Linked DNA regions of Macaca fascicularis. The protein of the gene in region 5 purifies or fractionates together with the protein of the main gene of each other region. This does not show direct contact. Links are inferred from orthologs where the notes say so. Each region holds a gene or a part of one and is shown on either strand. Other genes may lie near its edges. The genes, in order: G3BP1, TDRD3, ORC2, CEP63 and FXR1.

Region 1 (3,517 bases), on a different chromosome or scaffold from region 5:
CTCTTGGGCTCAGACTGTCCTCCCACCTCAGCCTCCTGAGTAGCTGGGACTGAGGTACAATCCACCACACTCAGCTAATTTTTTTTGTAGAGACGGTTTTACCATTTTGCCCAAGCTGATCTCGAACTCCTGGACTCAAGCAATTCGCTTGCTTCAGCCTTCCAAAATCCTGGGATTACAGGTGTGAACCACCACCCTTGGGTTTTTTGTTAAGGGTTTAAAATTTCCAGAACATTTTTTCTCATTTCCTCCTGATCATTACAAAAATCTTTAGTGAAGGGTAAGGCATTGTAAGAGAGTTAACTTCATTTTGCAGATACACTCAGAGTGTTTAAAAATTTGCTAGTACATATGCACATGACTGTTAAGTGGTAGAACAAGTCTCTAAGCAGTTTTTACCCTTCCTTCCTTTTCTTTTTTCTTTTTTCTTTTTTTTTTGAGACAGTCTTACTCTGTTGCCCAGGCTGAAGTGCAATGGTGCGATCATAGCTTGACCTCCTGGGCTCAAGTGATCCTCTTGCCTCAGTTTCCTACATAGCTAGGACTACAGGCATGCACTACCATGCCCAGCTAAGTTTGTGTGTGTGTGTGTGTGTGTGTGTGTGTGTGTGTATATTTTTTTTTTTTTTGGTGGAGTCTTGCTCTGTCACCCAGCCTGGAATGCCATGGTGAGATCTCAGCTCACTGTAGCCTCTGCCTCCCGGGTTCCAGTGATCCTCCTGCCTCAGCCTCCTGAGTAGTTGGGACTACGGGTGCACACTACCACCATGCCTGGCTCTTTTTTTTTTTTTTTTTTTCCCGAGATGGAGTTTCGTTCTTGTTGCCCAGGTTGGAGTGCAATGGCGCTATCTTGGCTCACCGCAACCTGTGTCTCCCATGTTTAAGTGGTACTCCTGCCTTAGCCTCCCGAGTAGCTGGGATTACAGGCATGCGCCACCACGCCTGGCTAATTTTGTATTTTTGGTGGAGACAGGGTTTCCCTATGTTGGTCAGGCTGGTCTCGAACTTCTGACTTCAGGTGATCCGCCCACCTTGGCCTCCCAAAGTGTTGGGATTACAGGCGTGAGCCATTGCGTCCAGCCTTTTTTTGTGTTTTTACATTTGGTTAATTTATTTCAACCCCATAGAATAAAACTGACATAAAACATGACAACAAGAAAGAAGTATAGGCCAGGCATGGTGGCTCATGCCTGTAATCCCAGCACTTTGAGAAGCTGAGGTGTGCTGAGAGGCTGAGGTGGACTGAGAGGCTGAGGTGGGTGGATCACTTGAGGTCAGGAGTTCAAGACCAGCCTGGCCAATATGGCGAAACCCTCTCTCTGTACTAAAAATACAAAAAAAGGCGGAGGTTGCAGTGAGCTGAGACTGCGCCACGGCACTCCAGAATGAGCAACAGCATGAGACTCTGTCTCAAAAAAAAAAAAAAAAAAAAAAAAAAAACGGTGTTTACCTGGAAGATGGAAGACAAATGTCAAATCTTAATAGTGGTTGTCCCTGGGTTAGAGCATTTTGGTGTGTTGCTTTCTTGATGGAATATTGTTTTAATGAAAATGGATCAAAGAAGGACATAGATGGGTGAAAACTATGAGGAATTGACTTTGACATTCTTAATTGCATCAGCAAAAATGATTAAAAAGTGCTTTTAAAACCACTTGCATGAACTAGGTGTTTAAGGGAAACTGCTCACATTTATTCTCAGATACATTAATTAAAGGACACTTGAAGTCTATGGAGAATATAGCTGTTCCAGCCTTACTGCATATTTTCTTCCTGAGTGAAAATAGGAACTTATGTATTGGTGGCCATCTTGACATGCAACTACAAGATCCTTCCCAACAGTATCATCCTACGCCGAAACCTGGAACCAAATCCATTCCCATTCAGCAGATGTTGATCAAGTGGCATGTAGGGGATAGAGAGATGATTGCATACAAAGATGAAAAAGAAAACACATTTCTGCCAGGGCCAGGCGCGGTGACTGACGCCTATAATTCCAGCACTTTGGGAAGCCAAGGCAGGTAGGATTGTTTGAGTTTGTGAGTTCGAGACCAGCCTGGGCAACGTAGTGAGACCTTATTTTTACTTAAATAAAAATAATCAGCCAGGCATGGTGGCATGTGCCTGTAGTTCCAGCTACTTTGGGAAGCTGAGGCTAGAGGATCACTTGGCCGTGGCACATAGAAGCTGCAGTGAGGTATGATCGCATCACTGCAATCCAGCCTGGGTGACAGATTGAGACCCCATCTCCAAAAAAAGAAATTTGCCAGTATCAAACATGAAAAAAAAAAAAAAAAACTTAAGATACTTGAAGATGACAAGTAAATCATCTTCCCATTTTACAGATTTTATGGAAAGAACTCTTCTTATGTCCATGGGGGATTGGATTCAAATGGAAAGCCAGCAGATGCAGTCTACGGACAGAAAGTAAGCATTTCAAGCCTTATTTAGGCTGTTAAGCAGGTAGAAAATAACTCATAAAATTGAAGTGGATCATACTTAATAGGTTTTGGTGATGAGGATCAAATTTCTCAACTTTTTAGTAAAAGTTGATGTGTTTTATTACTATTTGATTAATATATTTGTTGAAATATTTATGTGATGTCAGATTTGTTAATTTTGCATGATACAAAGCTTGTGTGTGTTGGAAGATAATTGGCTTTAGCATGGGGGTCATCTTTGTGTTAATTCAGAACAGTTATTTAAAAAACTCAAGTGTGGTCACTGGGAATAGGGTATACAAAGAAACATCAAAATCCAGTCTGCGTTTCCTATAATTTAAATATGTACATTCTCTTTACCTGTGTTTTGTTGAAAGTTTTTTTTTAGTTGGAGGTTATTTAAATTTTAAGGCATTCACAGTTGATTTTTTTTTTTTTTTTAAGGAAATCCACAGGAAAGTGATGTCACAAAATTTCACCAACTGCCACACCAAGATTCGCCATGTTGATGCTCATGCCACGCTAAATGATGGTGTGGTAGTCCAGGTGATGGGGCTTCTCTCTAACAACAACCAGGCTTTGAGGAGATTCATGCAAACGTTTGTCCTTGCTCCTGAGGTATGTATAGGGATGATTATTTTGTAATGATCGAAACATGGAAAAAAAAAACAATGAACGGTTGTGCATATCTTTAATAACACTTGAAATTTCAGACTTACAGAAAACTTGGAATAATGGTACAATAACTCCTATACACCTTACCTAGAGCAGCTGTCACCACTTGCCCACATGTGTGTAATTCTTTCTCTAAAATACTCCAGTGGGCATTTCCTAAGAATAAAGAATTCTCTTCCATTCTATAGTACAGTTATCAAATTCAGGAAATGTTGATGCAGTATAATTATTCTATAATCCATATTTAAAATTTGGAAATTATCCCAATAATGTCTTAGAGTTATTTTTTTTCCTTGTCCAACATGGAATCTATAATTGCACATTGCATTTAGCTATCATGTCTCTAGTCTTTTCTAATCTGCAGTTGTTCCTTAATCTTTTGGTTTTTTTTTTATTGCATTGAC
Region 2 (3,517 bases), on a different chromosome or scaffold from region 5:
CACACATCAGAAGGAATATATTTCTTGTCAAAAAAGTTCAGAAAAGTCACTAAGCAAACTGATGACTGTAACCTTCATCAAGTAACAGTAGTGATCCTTGGGGAGGAGGCACAATCTGACTTTCAGTTACCTAATTACAGGATTCAAAATGTCCAGTTCCCAACAAAAAATTACAAAGCCTACAAAGAAGCTGGAAAGTTTAGCCCATTCACAAGAAAAAGAGAAATCCATAGAAACCGTGCCTCAAATAGCTCATGCATTGGACTTAACTAGACAAAGACTTTAAATGAACTGTCTTATATATGCTCAAAGGTCTGAGAGAAATCATTGACAAAGAACTAAAGAAATCAGGAAAACAATGTATGAACTTATTAACTATTAGATATATAAAGTTATGTTTTTCTCAGCTGGGGTTAGCTCAAGAAATTTCTTTGTAGGATATGTTTATACTCCTTAAGTGGTTCTTGAATTCTATTCAGGTCTAGATTTTTAAAAGAGATTTGGATTCTGGCATTTGTAAAGTAGACTTTCCTGTTGGAGTATAGCTGTCAAAGGCATCATAGATAGTATTGCTAATGAATATAGAATACTCAAGTAATAGTTAAAAAAAAAAAAGCTACTGGGGGGTATCATTTTGTTAGCTTCAATACTTTACATTTTTGGAGAGGTGCTGTATGAATTACATTTCTCTTCTAGTATGGAGAAGTGTCAAAAAATTTCCATTTTTTACCATGGAAAAGTTTCATTAGGTAGTTTTCTCCTCACTGTCTATATTATTTTCAAAGGCCATACTCTAACACACCATAAAATTTCTTTTTTGTGCTTTTGCAGTGTTACTTGTGAGGTCAGAGAATACTCAAGGCACAACCCCACATATCATACAGATTCTTCCTTGCCTCTTGTAAAAAATCAGCAAGAGACTGTTGTATTAGAATGACATTTTTACATAAGTATGAGATGTAATTTTTAGTTAAGACTGCAAATAGTTAAAAGTTTATGCATTGCCTTATGTGTGGGCTACCAACCAGCTTTTCTCTTTATTCCTTCCAGGTTGATGAGAAAGCTCTGAAGCACATAACAGAAATGGGCTTCAGTAAGGAAGCATCCAGGCAAGCTCTTATGGATAATGGCAACAACTTAGAAGCAGCATTGAACGTGCTTCTTACAAGCAATAAACAGAAACCTGTTATGGGTCCTCCTCTGAGAGGTATAATTTATTAAACAGTGTGCCAGATAGTATTGTTTGCTTTTTAGATGAATATTTGTTATTGACAGAGGCTGTTAGCTGTGAGGGCTGTAATTTTATTTAACGTTATGGTAAGTGGAAGGAACACCAGTTTGGGAACCACAGAGACATTTGTAGTCCCAGTCTCGTTGTCTTCATCTTTGTACAAAATGGGTCTAACAACAACAACAAAACAAAAACAAAGCGGGTCTAACAATGACTTATTTAACAAGGTTGTTATGAATAACAGAGAAAATATGTGACTGGTTCTATTATTTCTAGAACTCTGCCACCTGAGTAAATGACTAAGCTTTTAAAAATTAACAAAAATATTACATTTACTTGGTGATATTATTATTATTATTATTTTTTAGATGGAGTCTCACTCTGTCACCTAGGCTGGAGTGTAGTGGCGCGATCTTGGCTCACTGCAAGCTCTACCTCCTGGGTTCATGCCATTCTCCTGCCTCAGCCTCCCGAGTAGCTGGGACTACAGGCGCCTGCCACCACACCTGGCTAATTTTTTTGTATTTTTAGTAGAGATGGGGTTTCACCATGTTCGCCAGGATGGTCTCCATCTCCTGACCTCGTGATCGGCCCATCTCAGCCTCCCAAAGTGCTGGGATTACAGGCGTGAGCCACCGCGCCCGGCCTTGGTATTATTCTTTAATCATTGCATGGTCAAGTTTATTATGTGGTTTTTCAAGTCCCAGTCCTATATTATTTTTAAAATGTCTGTGGTTGAAGAATAAATTATAATTTTTACTTAGAAGATAGTTTATATAAACAAATTCAGACTTCTGAATAGATGATTTATTTAGAGGATTAAATGTGCTACTTAATATAATTACTTAAAAAACTTTAAAAAATTACTGAAAAGATGTAGACTATACAAAAAATATGGAAAGAAATTAAAATCCCTATTTAAAATTTTTGGTTATATGTTAGTATATATTCTTTTTGTTTTTGCATATATAGTACATATTTCTTGCTTTTACATCTAAAGGTAGAGGAAAAGGCAGGGGACGAATAAGATCTGAAGATGAAGAGGACCTGGGAAATGCAAGGCCATCAGCACCAAGCACATTATTTGATTTCTTGGAATCTAAAATGGGAACTTTGAATGTGGAAGGTAGGCTAATTTAAAGTCGATTCTTTTTCTTTTTTTCTTTCTGTGTGTGTGTGTGTGTGGTTTTTTTTTTTTTTTTTTTAGTGTATTCTTTATAAGAGACCAAACTTTATTTGGAACTGTATAATAAAGCAACTATAATATGAACATATATCCTGATTGTTTATTTATAAATTTACTTAATTACAAATTCCTGCTTGACAAAAGCACAGAAGAAAATGTTATATTCTGAAAACATAATGGCAGCTTATTTTGCCCCCTAACTGGGATTAGTAATCTCACCAAACTATTTTTCCCTAATTTGCTCATATCTAGATGACAGATATAACTATGTAAACAGATTGTTGTTTTGGAAAATTTATTATATAATCTTATATAACATTTTGATTGTGAAATTGGTATATCTCTTCTTTCACCCCATATTACATAGTTTGAAAACGTTCACACAGTGAGTGAAAATGCTTTCACAATGTGATTTTTTTTTATATACTTTAGTGATTGACATATTGAAAAGAGAACTAAGTATGGTAATATGCAGCCTTTTTCTAAGCACATAATATATTAAATATTTTCTAAAATGATAAGTTTTCAAAATACGATCCAAAAAGTTAAGGAAATATGCTTTTAAATTCAATTTATCATTCAGATATATTTTGAATCTAGCCAAATAAGCTCATAGATAAAATGCTTTTGTAACAAATGTGAAATGTTCAGATTTCATAAAAATTGAAGTATGTTTGCTAGATTATATAGAAAAGGCAGTGTAGCATTTGAGAAAACAAAGTTTGACGTGGGCAAGATTTGTAAGCATGATGTATTAGTTTTCTGTTGCTGTGTAACAAATTACCACAAAGTTAGTGGCTTAAAACAATGCAACTTTATTACCTTATAGTTTCTTTGTGTCAGGAGTCTAGGCACAGCTTCACTGGGGCCTCTGTTTAAAGTCTCAGATGCTGATGTTAAGATTTTGGTTGGAGTGGTGATCTTATCAGAGACTTGAGGTCCTCTTACAGGCTCACCAGTTCTTGCAGAATTTCATTTCCTTGTGGATGCAAGACTGAGGTCCTGTTTTTTGCTTGGTGTTGCCTGGAGACTGCTTTGTCTCCTAAAAGCTGCCTTCAGATTGTTGCCACATGGGCCACCCCATAGGCAATTTACATATT
Region 3 (3,517 bases), on a different chromosome or scaffold from region 5:
GCTGCAAGATTCCATTCACGTTGTCATCAATGGCTTCTTTCCCGGAATCAGTGTGAAATCAGTAAGTTTCAAAATGTTAAAGGGAAAAACATTATATCCTCTGCCAATTCATGCCTCCACATAAATGAGGATGGAGTATTAAAGAATTTTTGTTTTAGTCTTCACGGTAGTAGGATTGTATAGTGCTTAATACCATGTGTTTGGACTCAGAAGAATCTAGCTTTGAAACCATCTTTGAATGTCCTACGTTGTAACTGACATGTATTAAAACTTAGGAAAATATGTTAGTTTTGTTTACTACACTGAGTATCAGTGGTACTTCTAAAGAAGGGAATTATGGGGTCTTCAGTTTTGTTATAAACTATGAAAATGCTTTATTAGGCAAAAACTCGGGGCCGGGCGCGGTGGCTCAAGCCTGTAATCCCAGCACTTTGGGAGGCCGAGACGGGCGGATCACGAGGTCAGGAGATCAAGACCATCCTGGCTAACACGGTGAAACCCCATCTCTACTAAAAAATACAAAAAAAAAAAACTAGCCGGGCGAGGTGGCGGGCGCCTGTAGTCCCAGCTACTCGGGAGGCTGAGGCAGGAGAATGGCGTAAACCCGGGAGGCGGAGCTTGCAGTGAGCTGAGATCCGGCCACTGCACTCCAGCCTGGGCGACAGAGCCAGACTCCCTCTCAAAAAAAAAAAAAAAAAAAAAAAACAAACTACATGCTGTGAAAATGCTTTAAAATGCAACAGGATGTGAAGACTATAGTTTTACAATACATTTATCATAGATCATTTTTATTTCAAATGCTCAATCTCTCTTCCTCATTTGAACATGAAATCTTTTGGGTGCTGGATATTGAGTCATGTAGTATTCCTTTTTAAAAGTGTCTATAGTGTTTGTGTCCTGTTTCCTTTGATAGAACTGTAGTTTTCTAATGTTTCTCATGTTCTTGGGAGCTTTTTCATTTGTTTTTGCTGCCCTCTTATATTACCTATTACGTTGATATCTTTGCTATTCTTTTCTATTTTCTTTTAGCCACAACTTAGGCAAAAAACAATGAATTAGATATAATTCATCGAGTACCAGTAGAATTTTTAAAAGTGATTTTTTAAAACTTTTGGGAAATCCAAATTCATTATTAATTTATAAAAAAAGGTTTGATTTTCTAGTTGTATATGACAATAAATTGTAATTAATGTGGCACCTCTTGCACATTCATGATATAGGTCCTGAATTCTATAACAGAAGAAGTCCTCGATCATATGGGTACTTTCCGCAGTATACTGGATCAGCTAGACTGGATAGTAAAGAGATTTAAAGAAGGTAACATGAAGTAGATGCTCTGTAGTTTTAGGGTAAAGTTAAGCATATACTTCTACTTATTCATGTATTTATATACATACAGTACAGTTATACATACATATTATATGTATTATATACATACATATACATACAGTATTATTATTATTTTTTATATATATATTTTTTGAGACAGTCTCTCTGTTGCCCAGGCTGGAGTGTAGTGGCACCATCATGGCCCACTGCAGCCTTGACCTTCTGGGCTCAAGCAGTTCTCCCACCTCAGTCTCCCAGGTAGCTGAGATCACAGGCGTGTGCCACTGTGCCCAGCTAATTTTGTATTATTTGTGGAGATGAGGTCTCGCTATGTTGCCCAGGATAGTCTGGAACTTCTGGGCTCAAGCAGTCCTCCTGCCTTGGCCTCCCAAAGGGCTGAGATTATAGGTGTGAGCCACCACACCTGGCCCAAAAAGATTATTTTAATAATGGCACTTATCTTGGTGCTCTAAAATAATTTGACCTTTTTCTATGAACCTTTTCTGTGAACTTAACAGGGAAGAAAAATGTTAGTCCCACTTTCTTAAGTTTGTATATCCAAAAGCCTCTTTCTGTTTATAAAACACTCCAGAAGTGCAGTGGCGCAATTTTGGCTCACTGCAACCTCTGCCTCCCGGGTTTAAGCAATTCTCCTGCCTCAGCCTCCCAAGTAGCTGGGATTACAGGCATGCACCACCAAGCCCAGCTAATTTATTTCAGAATAATTTTCAGGTTTTGTTTTGCTTGTGTAAAGTGCCTCCACTTGAGCGTTACATCTTTGTCTGATATTTTTATATTGTTTAATGTTTTTATAAAACATTATTTCTTGGCTGGACACAGTGGCTGACGCCTGTAATCCCAGCACTTTGGGAGGTCAAGCTGGGTGGGTCACCTGAGGTCAGGAGTTCGAGACCAGCCTGGCCAATATGGTGAAACCCCGTCTCTACAAAAATACAAAAAAAATTAGCCAGGCATGGTAGCACGTGCCTGTAGTCCCAGCTACTTGGGAGGCTGAGGCAGGAGAAGTGCTTGAGCCTGGGAGGCAGAGGTTGCAGTGAGCCAAGATCATACCACTGCACTCCAGCCTGGGCAATAGAGTGAGACTCTATCTAAAAATAAATAAATAAATAAAACATTATTTCTTTATTCTGTGTATATATCATTACATTGGGATAATTTTATATACTAAGATCTCTGATTCTTTTGGTGTGAATGTTTTGGTTATGTGAGTATGTCAGAAAATTGGAAATAGCATTATATAGTCTCTGATAGTTAATTGCCATTTAATAATGACTAAATTAAGAGAAGTACATGAGAATGCCTAACTGCTTTGATGGATAATTTTATTGATAATGTCAATAATCCTAGCTCTGTTTCCATAGTACTTTTATCTTGTCAATATTCTGGCATGTTCTTTAGTTTTGTCTTCATTTTGTTTCCAACCTGAAAAGCTTTCTGTCCCAAATTTCCTTTCACACTTCTACACCCATTTTACCTACAGTTCTTTATAGAAATGGACAGTATACTTTTTTGTTTTTGGTTTTTTTTTAACACAGTCTTTCTCTCTCACCTGGGCTGGGATCCAGTGGCACAAACACATTTCACTACATCCTAAACCTCCTGGGCCCAAGTGATCCTCCCAACTCAGCCTCCCCATTAGCTGGGACTACAGGCACACACCATCTGCCTGGCTATTGTTAAAATTTTTTGTAGAGATGGAGTCTCACTGTGTTGCCCAGGCTGGTCTCAAACTCCTAGGCCTCAAGGGATCCGCCTGTCTGGGCCTTCCAAAGTGCTGGGATTAACAGACATGAGCCCAGCCAGACAATATACATTTTTATACCAACTGTACACATTTGAAAACAGGTAGAGTTGATTCTCATTATTCACAAATTCTATAATAACAAATTTTCCTGCTTGCTAACATTTATTATAATCCCAAAATCAATACTCTTGGCACTTTTGCAAAGTGAAACATGCACAGAGTGGCAAAAAGTTTGCATTGCCCAATGTACACATTCTAAGCAGAGGTCAAACAAGGCAATGCTTTGCCGTCTTGTTTCAACTCTCATACTATAAACAAGCATCCTTTTCGCAGTCCGTTCAGTGCTATGTTTTTCACATTTTTCTGCTTTTGTGTCGGTGATTTGGCTGTTTAAAATGGCCCCCAAGCATAGTGTTAGAATGC
Region 4 (4,249 bases), about 55 Mb from region 5:
CTTTCCTGCTGCTACTCCTTTGTCCTTGCTGCTGTGTCTCCTGGGATACCCTTTTCACTTTCCTCAGCTGATCCAAACCTGACTTTCCCAGGCCCACATAGGTTTTCCACCTTTTAGTAAGGTTTTCTCAGATCACTCGAGCTTCAGTAGGCCTTCTATCCTTGAACTCTTGCTTCTTGTCCTAACTTAAATCTACTAAACAAGCTTTGTGATCAATTGCTCAGGTATTATTGTCTCCAACTGTTATGTGTACATTTTGTACCCAGGATTCCTTAGTAGATCTTTCTACAATTTGGCCTCAATCTTTTTCACCTGTCCCTTCTCCAAACACCTCAAACCCTGTCACATTTTCCAGCCTTGACAGTTAAAACCCCCCTTTCCACATCACTAATGCCACTCTTCCTTTCAAGATCAACGCAGGCGTCAGCTCTTGGAGGTCAACATCCCATTTCCGGGGTTAGGCGTGAAGGTGCCTTCACTCTTAAGGGGCTGGAAGGATGGAAAGCAACAAGATAATCAACGCCCAAGGCACAGCCACCGTCCCAAGTACTCGTCACACAATACGACAACTGTTTCCTGAACAAACTTTTCTTACACGTGACAGTCCCGATGCCTGCAATGCTGTTTGTTTCTTCCTTTTTATTCCAGCGAACCCATAGTCAGTCTAAAAATCTCAGGTCTCAAGTCGCTTCCTGCAGGAGGCCGCCTCCAAACCTCAGGCTGAGCGCGGTCCCGGTACCCACCGGGGATCTCATAGTTCCCTAAGCACAGAGCATGGCACCAACTAGGTAGCCTGTCAAACAGCCCAGATGTATGTCTTTCCAGACACGCAGTGCCTGCGTTTCCCGGGACAGGGACATGTCTTATCCATTTCTATACATTATAGCTTTGTAAACATGTATCTGTAAGGTCAAAGCGGGAAAAATATTGTTCCTTGCTAGAAATGAGCCTCGCAGGCCACCACACTGTACGAGAGGCCGCCCCTCAGCCGCGGCTTCCGGCCTGACGCAGGATGTACCAAACGTGGAAGCGGAGACGGGGAGGTCTGGGGTGCCAAGCAAGTCCCTTTCCTCCCGACACAGCGTGCAGTAAAGAAAACGGTTATGAGCGTAAAGTGACAGCCTCGGCCGATGGAAATAGGGGGAAGTCCGACACTGAGCCACGAACGCATTCCCGCGCCTCCAAAACCTAGGCCGGGGGCGCTGCAAACCCTTACCGTTACGCGGCCCAGCGCGGCAGACGCTTCCTCCTGCCTCGCACCGCATCACGCGTCTGCACGCTCTTTCTCGGATTCCCGGATGTGGGTGAGTCCATTTGCTCGCGTGCAGGGGAAGTCTGGAGCAGACATTGATTCAATTATTAAAAGTGTGGGGGCAGTGGGCGGAACGAACGCTCCGACTGCTGAGGCTGGACGTAAGCTTAGTGGTGGCGCGCGTGCGCAGTGCACGGCCGAGGTAACGGCGGGAAGGCTGAGGGATGCGCTTGCTGCAGCCGTGTAACCGCCCGTGCGCAAGACGGAAGCGCAAGGGGCGAGCGCGTCCTGGTCCGGAGGCGGCCCAGGCTGCCTTGGTGACTCTGGCTTCGCGGCCTCATGGCTTGCGGCCGGTTCGCGCAACAGTCTGCGAACCACCAGGCGCCTCCCCGCCGGCTCGCGTCCGCCCCGGAGCCCCGTCCCTCGGCCTGGCCCGCTATGCCCTGCACACCGGCGTAGTCCGGCATGGCGCAGCCCGGCGCGCGGTTCGGCCCCGCCAGGTGGTCACAGCGTTTCCTCGGAGGCCGGGTGGCTGGGGGCGCTTCGGAGAGTAGCCAGGTGGGCGGGCGAGCTGCGCCCAGTACTCACCTTTCCCGGCGGACCCACCTTTCTTTTCAGCGGAGGTACCCCTGTGCGGCCTCCCGGCCAGGGCTGCTGTTTAGCTAGCGCTGTTAGGACTACTTCATTCACGGCACAAGGGGACCCGCTCATTTAGGGTGGCATGTTAAGGTTGGCAGCTTTTAAAATAGTGAGTTGGTGTAAACGGTTATGTTTAGTACAGCAGGTACGGAATTATGGCAGAAATCGTGGACTGAAATTGGAGAACCCTGAACTAACTGCTCCATGCACACAGATCAGGGATAGAAAGAAACAAGGACGGTTTCTTAGGAACACTTTAATCATGGAGATACTTGAAGACAGTACATTTAGGCTTATAATGTGGTTTTTTTTATGTCGTATACGACATCAGGAGAGTAAAGATGTGTATGATGTCAGAGACTAGTCATCTTGTATAGTTTAAGCACCGTACACTAATATGCACAAAGTAGTTTTCCCTGAGCTTTATGTCCGGTTAAACTTATTAAAAGAATTTATTCTTTTATAAAGCAGTATTGTAGGGTAGATGCTCTGTATTTATACAGTTCCTCACGTGCTTGCGTTTATTTTTTAGGTAAGAGAAAATCAAGGATCGTTGATTAGATTTCTGTTAGCTGTAGCTTAATAGTAAAACAAAGTATATATATTTTCTTATTTGGAATGCAGTACTATTTTTAGATTAATTTTTGAGATTGCCTTTTGACTGTGGCATGATCAGTGATCAGGGTAGTAAAAAAGGCTCTGAAACTAAAATGGGGTAGAGATTTATAAACAGGCACACTGCCTTTTAAAATGTATGTAGATGCAACTCTAAAAGTTGTTTGTAAAAATTGTATATGTTGATTGTACTGATGCCATTTTCTCTCTTTAAAAGGTGGAATGCCTTTGCTTAGTCCTTTCTGTTCTAATTTACGTTGTGCTGGCAGATGGTGACAGCATCAGTAGTCCACTCTGTCATTGCTTCCTGCTTTCAAAAAATGTCAACTTGATTTGGAATTCAGCTAAAGCCAACATTGACACAAGGTTTCAGGAACTGAATTTCCGATCTTTATGTTATTTTAGTCCCCTGCCCGCCCCCGTCAGGAGCTAGGTCTTTCAGTTTTGCAAAGCCACACTACTGTCATTACACATACACAAATTAATGAAAATTCTCTAATGTCAATGTCCAGTCAGATTACGATTTCTTCAACTCTCTCTTAAATGTCTTTTTTGCAGTTAGCTTGTTTGAACCAAAATCCCACAGGGATCTGCCTGTTGTGTTTGGGTGATGCATATTTGACATCTTTTAATCTATAGCAGTTCCCTCATAGCTATAGCTATGGGATTAGCCCCTATTTTTCCTTACAGTTCTAAATTTAGCAGATTACATTGCACAGTATCCTTTAACAGGTATCTCTGTTGCCTTTATGGCTTCTAAACCAGGGGCCCCCAAACCCGGGGCTGCAGAGCACTACCAGTCCGTGGCCTGTTAGGAACCAGGTTACAGAGCAGGAGGTGAGTGACAGGCGAGTGAGCATTACCTACCAACTGAGCTCTGCCTCCTGTCAGATCAGCTGTGGGGTTAGATTCTCCTAGGAGCATGAACCCTAATGTGAACTGCGCATGCAAGGGATCTAGGTTGCATGCTTATGAGAATCTGACTAATGACTCATGATCTGAGGTGGAACAGTTTCATCATGAAACCATGCCCCTAACCCTTGCCATGTGTATTATTCATATTACTGAAGAAGTGGTTGGCCGGGTGCGGTGGCTCACGCCTGTAATCCCAGCACTTTGGGAGGCTGACGTGGGCGGATCACGAGGTCAGGAGTTCGAGACCAGTCTGGCCAACATAGTGAAACACCGTCTCTACTAAAAATGCAAAAAAGTTAGCCGGGTGTGGTGGTGTGCGCCTGTAATTCCAGCTACTCGGGAGGCTGAGGCAGGAGAATCACGTGAATCCGGGAGGCGAAGGTTGCAGTGAGCTGAGATCACACCGTTGCTCTCCAGACCAGGCTACAGTGTGAGACTGGATCTCAAAAAAAAGAAAATAAATAAACAAATAAAAAGTGGTTTGGCCATTCCTCCCCCAAAACATTTCATATGAATGTTAACAAAAAGATATTTACAAAATTTTTTATTTCCACCCTGTCCGTGTTGAAAAATTTTCTTCCGTGAAACAGGTCCCTGGTGCCAAAAAGGCTGGGGACCACTGCTCTAAACCAGTAGTTAGATGTAGAATTGCACTGTCCAGTATTATAGCCACCAGCCAGCTGTGGGTAATTAAAGTGAAATAAAATTAAAAATTCAGTTCCTAGGCTGGGCGCGGTGGCTCATGCCTGTAATCCCAGCACTTTGGGAAGCCGAGGCGGGCAGATCACGGGGTCAGGAGTTTCGAGACAAGCCTGACCAACATGACGA
Region 5 (3,517 bases):
ATTTAATAAATAACTTATTTTAAAGCTGTTAAACATCCCCTTGATCGGGGAGAGTCCATGTCCTCTTTTATATTGTATGCCTATAGCAGCATGTTCGGCACACTCTAGGCCGTTCAATAAATGTTGAACTGAAACAGCAAATGATCTCATCAATTCTGTTGACTAGGAACACAATGCTCTTTACCATCTACTTCCCTAAGGTCACAGTTTTGGTAAGGAGCACAGCTCTAGCTCTAGGCTTTAGGAAGACAAAAAGTTATATATAAGAAGACTTACTCATTTTTGTTTTGATTGTAGGAAGTAGAACAGCTAAGAATGGAACGCCTACAGATTGATGAACAGCTACGACAGATTGGTATGGGTTTCAGACCTTCTTCCACCAGAGGGCCTGAAAAAGAGAAAGGATATGCCACTGATGAAAGTACCGTCTCTTCTGTACAAGGTTCTAGGTCTTATAGTGGAAGAGGCAGAGGTCGTCGGGGCCCTAATTACACCTCCGGTTATGGTAAAAAAACTTTTTTTTTTTTTGTAGTAGTAATAATAGTAGTTTAGGTGCTCTAACACATTTTCTTATAATTAGTTCATTATCTTGGCTTTGAGGGTAGAAGGTAGTTTTGAAGGTTTGGTACATGTCTTAATAGTAGTGATGGTATACGTTACAATGACAGTAAAATATATAAAATTTCCAAGCAGTTATGTAACGAAGCAAAGCATGTTTTTAAGTTGGTAGTTCATTGTCATGTTCATTATATTTACAAATAATACATACGTAACTTGTTTTTCAAATACTTTGCTAGTACAGTTTTATACATTTCCCAGTAAATACCTAGTAATGGTGGTGATACTTTTAGGAATCATCTTTTGTCTACCCTCTTCAAGTAAAAAATGAAAAGTATGCGAATCACTGCCAAGATTGCATATAGCAAGTCTTTACTAGCTTTTAAAAAATATTTTATTTACTCATTTGGCATATTTGAATATATTAACATCTCACATCTGGAATTACTTTGTTTAACAACATTTCACTAAAATGAAGGCTCTGAAAGCCAGAATCTAATTTAACACTTCATAAATGAACATTTTCTAAAATATATTTCACTGTGAGGATTGGGTATAACCCAGGTAGGAAGGGGACAGTGGAGTGATGATAGTCAACAATTCTCTAATCCTAAATTCTCCCTTATTCTTCTTCAGCTTTGGAGTTGTTCCATTTTTCTACATTTGGACTTGGATCTTAGCAGTGACCTGATTTGTTTTTTTCCTTCGCCCATTTTCTTTCTCTTTTCCTGTTCTTTTCTTCACTCCTATACTTACTCTCTTTTGAGGAAATACAAAACATTTTCCAAAATGTAAGGCATTTAAGGAATATAGAAATAAATGCAAATTTCCTGCTTAATTGAAGGATCATGTAATGCTGACAAAGTTATATTAAACCTGAACTATCTTCAATTTGTTGTAGAGTTGTAAGTTTGTGTCCCTTCCCTTTAATATCATATCTTTATGTTCTCATTTTTACATATATATTTTTATTTAATGCAGTATTGAAACCTAAATAGCAAAATTCTAATAAAGAAGTATTCAGCATATAAATGGATGAAAATTGCAAACTGTTATTATATTTCTGAAAATGTTTAATGCAAAAGACAGTTAACCAGTAATCACATAGAAATTAAATATATTCTCATTGATTTTTGAACCATACATTATTAGCATAGATAATCAGACTTATTGGATGAAGAGTATGATGAATTCATTGAATAATTTTATTAGCTTTTGTGGGAAGTCTGCTTATTGAGAGCTTACTCTGGCAAAATGCTTTTGTTGAGAGTAGATAATTTATGTGAGAGGTAGAGAAACATCATCTGGATTCAAGAAAGCTGTGCAAATTGTTCAGTAGATGGCACTCTTAGCTCTGAATCTTAGCGGAATTAATAACATTTTATTTCTTGAAATAGTTACCAAATCTGAGTGGGCTTGGAAAAGCACGAAAAACCATTTGAATTTGGTTGTAGATGTTCATGTATACTTTATATGAGCGGGACTTTTAGTTGATTTTATATATATATATATATATATATATATATATATATATATATAAAGTATGAGTTTTATCAGTTTAATAGGAACTATAAGAAACATTTCCCAGTGTAACATCTCCGAAGTTGGTATGTGCGTTAAATTGGACATCTTACAACTTTAACAACATTTTCTTTTTTAATGACACATAAAATAATATCTTAAAATTGATGGCCTCTTGGAGTTGATAAAACGTGATTAGTTTTAGCTATTAAGCTTAGCACAACCATTGAAAATGATATAAACCATCTTCATAAGGTGATTTTAGAAGTTTGAGGGGGAAAATATGATTTTAAAATTGGTTAAAAACACAATGTCATTATGTTTCGTTACTTTTTTTTTTTTTTTTTTTGAGACAGAGTTTCACTCTTGTTGCCCAGGCTGGAGTGCAGTGGTGCGATCTCGTCTCACCGCGACCTCTGCCTCCTGGGTTCAAGTGATTCTCCTGCTTCAGTCTCCTGAGTAGCTGGGATTACAGGCATGCACCACCATGCCCGGCTAATTTTGTATTTTTAGTAGAGACAGGGTTTCTCCATGTTGGTCAGGCTGGTCTCAATCTCCCGACCTCAGGTGATCCGCCCACCGTGCCTCCCAAAGTGCTGGGATTACAGGCGTGAGCCACCATGCCTAGCCTGGTGTCGTTACTTTTAAAGCTTGTTTAAAAAGACTTTGAATCCCCAACTTGTATTTTACAAAATTAAGGGGTTGGAATAAATGGTTTCCCTGATTATTCATTAGAGTATTTGTTTTCAATTGCAGTAATAAATTATCACAAACTTAGAGGCTTGAACCACAGAAAGTTACTGCCTTATAGTTCTGTTGGTCAGAAGGCTGACATGGGTCTTACTGGGCTAAAATCTTGTCAGCTGGGCTACGTTTCTTTCTGGAAGGTCTGGTGGGATTCCCCTTTGGGTAGTTGAGAAAGTTTCTCTACTTTTAAAGACCCGGTGAGATTAGTTTGGACCCACCTGGATTATCCAGGATAGTCTCTCTATCTCAGCGTCCTTAGCCTTAGTCACATGTGCAGGGTCCTTTTTGCTATCACAGAAACATTTCATATGGGTTATTAAGAATTATTTAATATGAATAATGTTGAGCACTAGCCAATTCATTAAAATTTTGGGGGTTATGGCCTCAATATCTGTTTTACCTACTGAAATCTATGATTTAGACATTCCCTCTAAGTATCTTGAATACTATATGTAGGTTAAATTTAAGGAAGACTTTACTTGCTGTGACACGGGGTTAGATAAATACTAGTCTGGATTTCAAAGGATACTTCAATAGGAACTTTTGAGAGAGTCTTCAAAATGAAGTATTCTTTATTTGCCCTGAATTTTGGCAATGGTTTCAGATAGGGTATATGTGTGTAAATAAATTCAGAAGTTCTTAAACGTTCTGAAAGGTTTTTTTTTTTTCACTATTCAAGGAGAGATAAATT

What was found.
Region 1: the proteins of FXR1 (region 5) and G3BP1 purify together in Homo sapiens (affinity purification with mass spectrometry; 3 studies listed by BioGRID and IntAct, with this or other methods). This does not show direct contact. The link is inferred for Macaca fascicularis from reciprocal best matches to the Homo sapiens genes FXR1 and G3BP1.
Region 2: the proteins of FXR1 (region 5) and TDRD3 purify together in Homo sapiens (affinity purification with mass spectrometry; 3 studies listed by BioGRID and IntAct, with this or other methods). This does not show direct contact. The link is inferred for Macaca fascicularis from reciprocal best matches to the Homo sapiens genes FXR1 and TDRD3.
Region 3: the proteins of FXR1 (region 5) and ORC2 purify together in Homo sapiens (affinity purification with mass spectrometry; 4 studies listed by BioGRID and IntAct, with this or other methods). This does not show direct contact. The link is inferred for Macaca fascicularis from reciprocal best matches to the Homo sapiens genes FXR1 and ORC2.
Region 4: the proteins of FXR1 (region 5) and CEP63 purify together in Homo sapiens (co-immunoprecipitation; 3 studies listed by BioGRID and IntAct, with this or other methods). This does not show direct contact. The link is inferred for Macaca fascicularis from reciprocal best matches to the Homo sapiens genes FXR1 and CEP63.

The regions. Positions count from the first base shown.
Region 1 is NC_088380.1:158,640,888-158,644,404, forward strand, and holds part of G3BP1 (ras GTPase-activating protein-binding protein 1), read left to right. Parts: intron 1-1,699; 5' UTR 1,700-1,728; coding exon 1,729-2,018; intron 2,019-2,342; coding exon 2,343-2,424; intron 2,425-2,882; coding exon 2,883-3,056; intron 3,057-3,517. UniProt on the Homo sapiens protein: Protein involved in various processes, such as stress granule formation and innate immunity. Plays an essential role in stress granule formation.
Region 2 is NC_088391.1:39,937,579-39,941,095, forward strand, and holds part of TDRD3 (tudor domain-containing protein 3), read left to right. Parts: intron 1-1,050; coding exon 1,051-1,207; intron 1,208-2,231; coding exon 2,232-2,357; intron 2,358-3,517. UniProt on the Homo sapiens protein: Scaffolding protein that specifically recognizes and binds dimethylarginine-containing proteins. Plays a role in the regulation of translation of target mRNAs by binding Arg/Gly-rich motifs (GAR) in dimethylarginine-containing proteins.
Region 3 is NC_088386.1:96,692,918-96,696,434, reverse strand, and holds part of ORC2 (origin recognition complex subunit 2), read left to right. Parts: coding exon 1-61; intron 62-1,220; coding exon 1,221-1,317; intron 1,318-3,517. UniProt on the Homo sapiens protein: Component of the origin recognition complex (ORC) that binds origins of replication. DNA-binding is ATP-dependent. The specific DNA sequences that define origins of replication have not been identified yet.
Region 4 is NC_088376.1:37,393,748-37,397,996, forward strand, and holds the start of CEP63 (centrosomal protein of 63 kDa), read left to right. Parts: upstream 1-1,440; 5' UTR 1,441-1,476; coding exon 1,477-1,752; coding exon of another isoform or gene 1,753-1,810; intron 1,811-1,840; exon of another isoform or gene 1,841-1,947; intron 1,948-4,249. UniProt on the Homo sapiens protein: Required for normal spindle assembly.
Region 5 is NC_088376.1:92,807,767-92,811,283, forward strand, and holds part of FXR1 (RNA-binding protein FXR1), read left to right. Parts: intron 1-276; exon of another isoform or gene 277-297; coding exon 298-505; intron 506-3,517. UniProt on the Homo sapiens protein: mRNA-binding protein that acts as a regulator of mRNAs translation and/or stability, and which is required for various processes, such as neurogenesis, muscle development and spermatogenesis.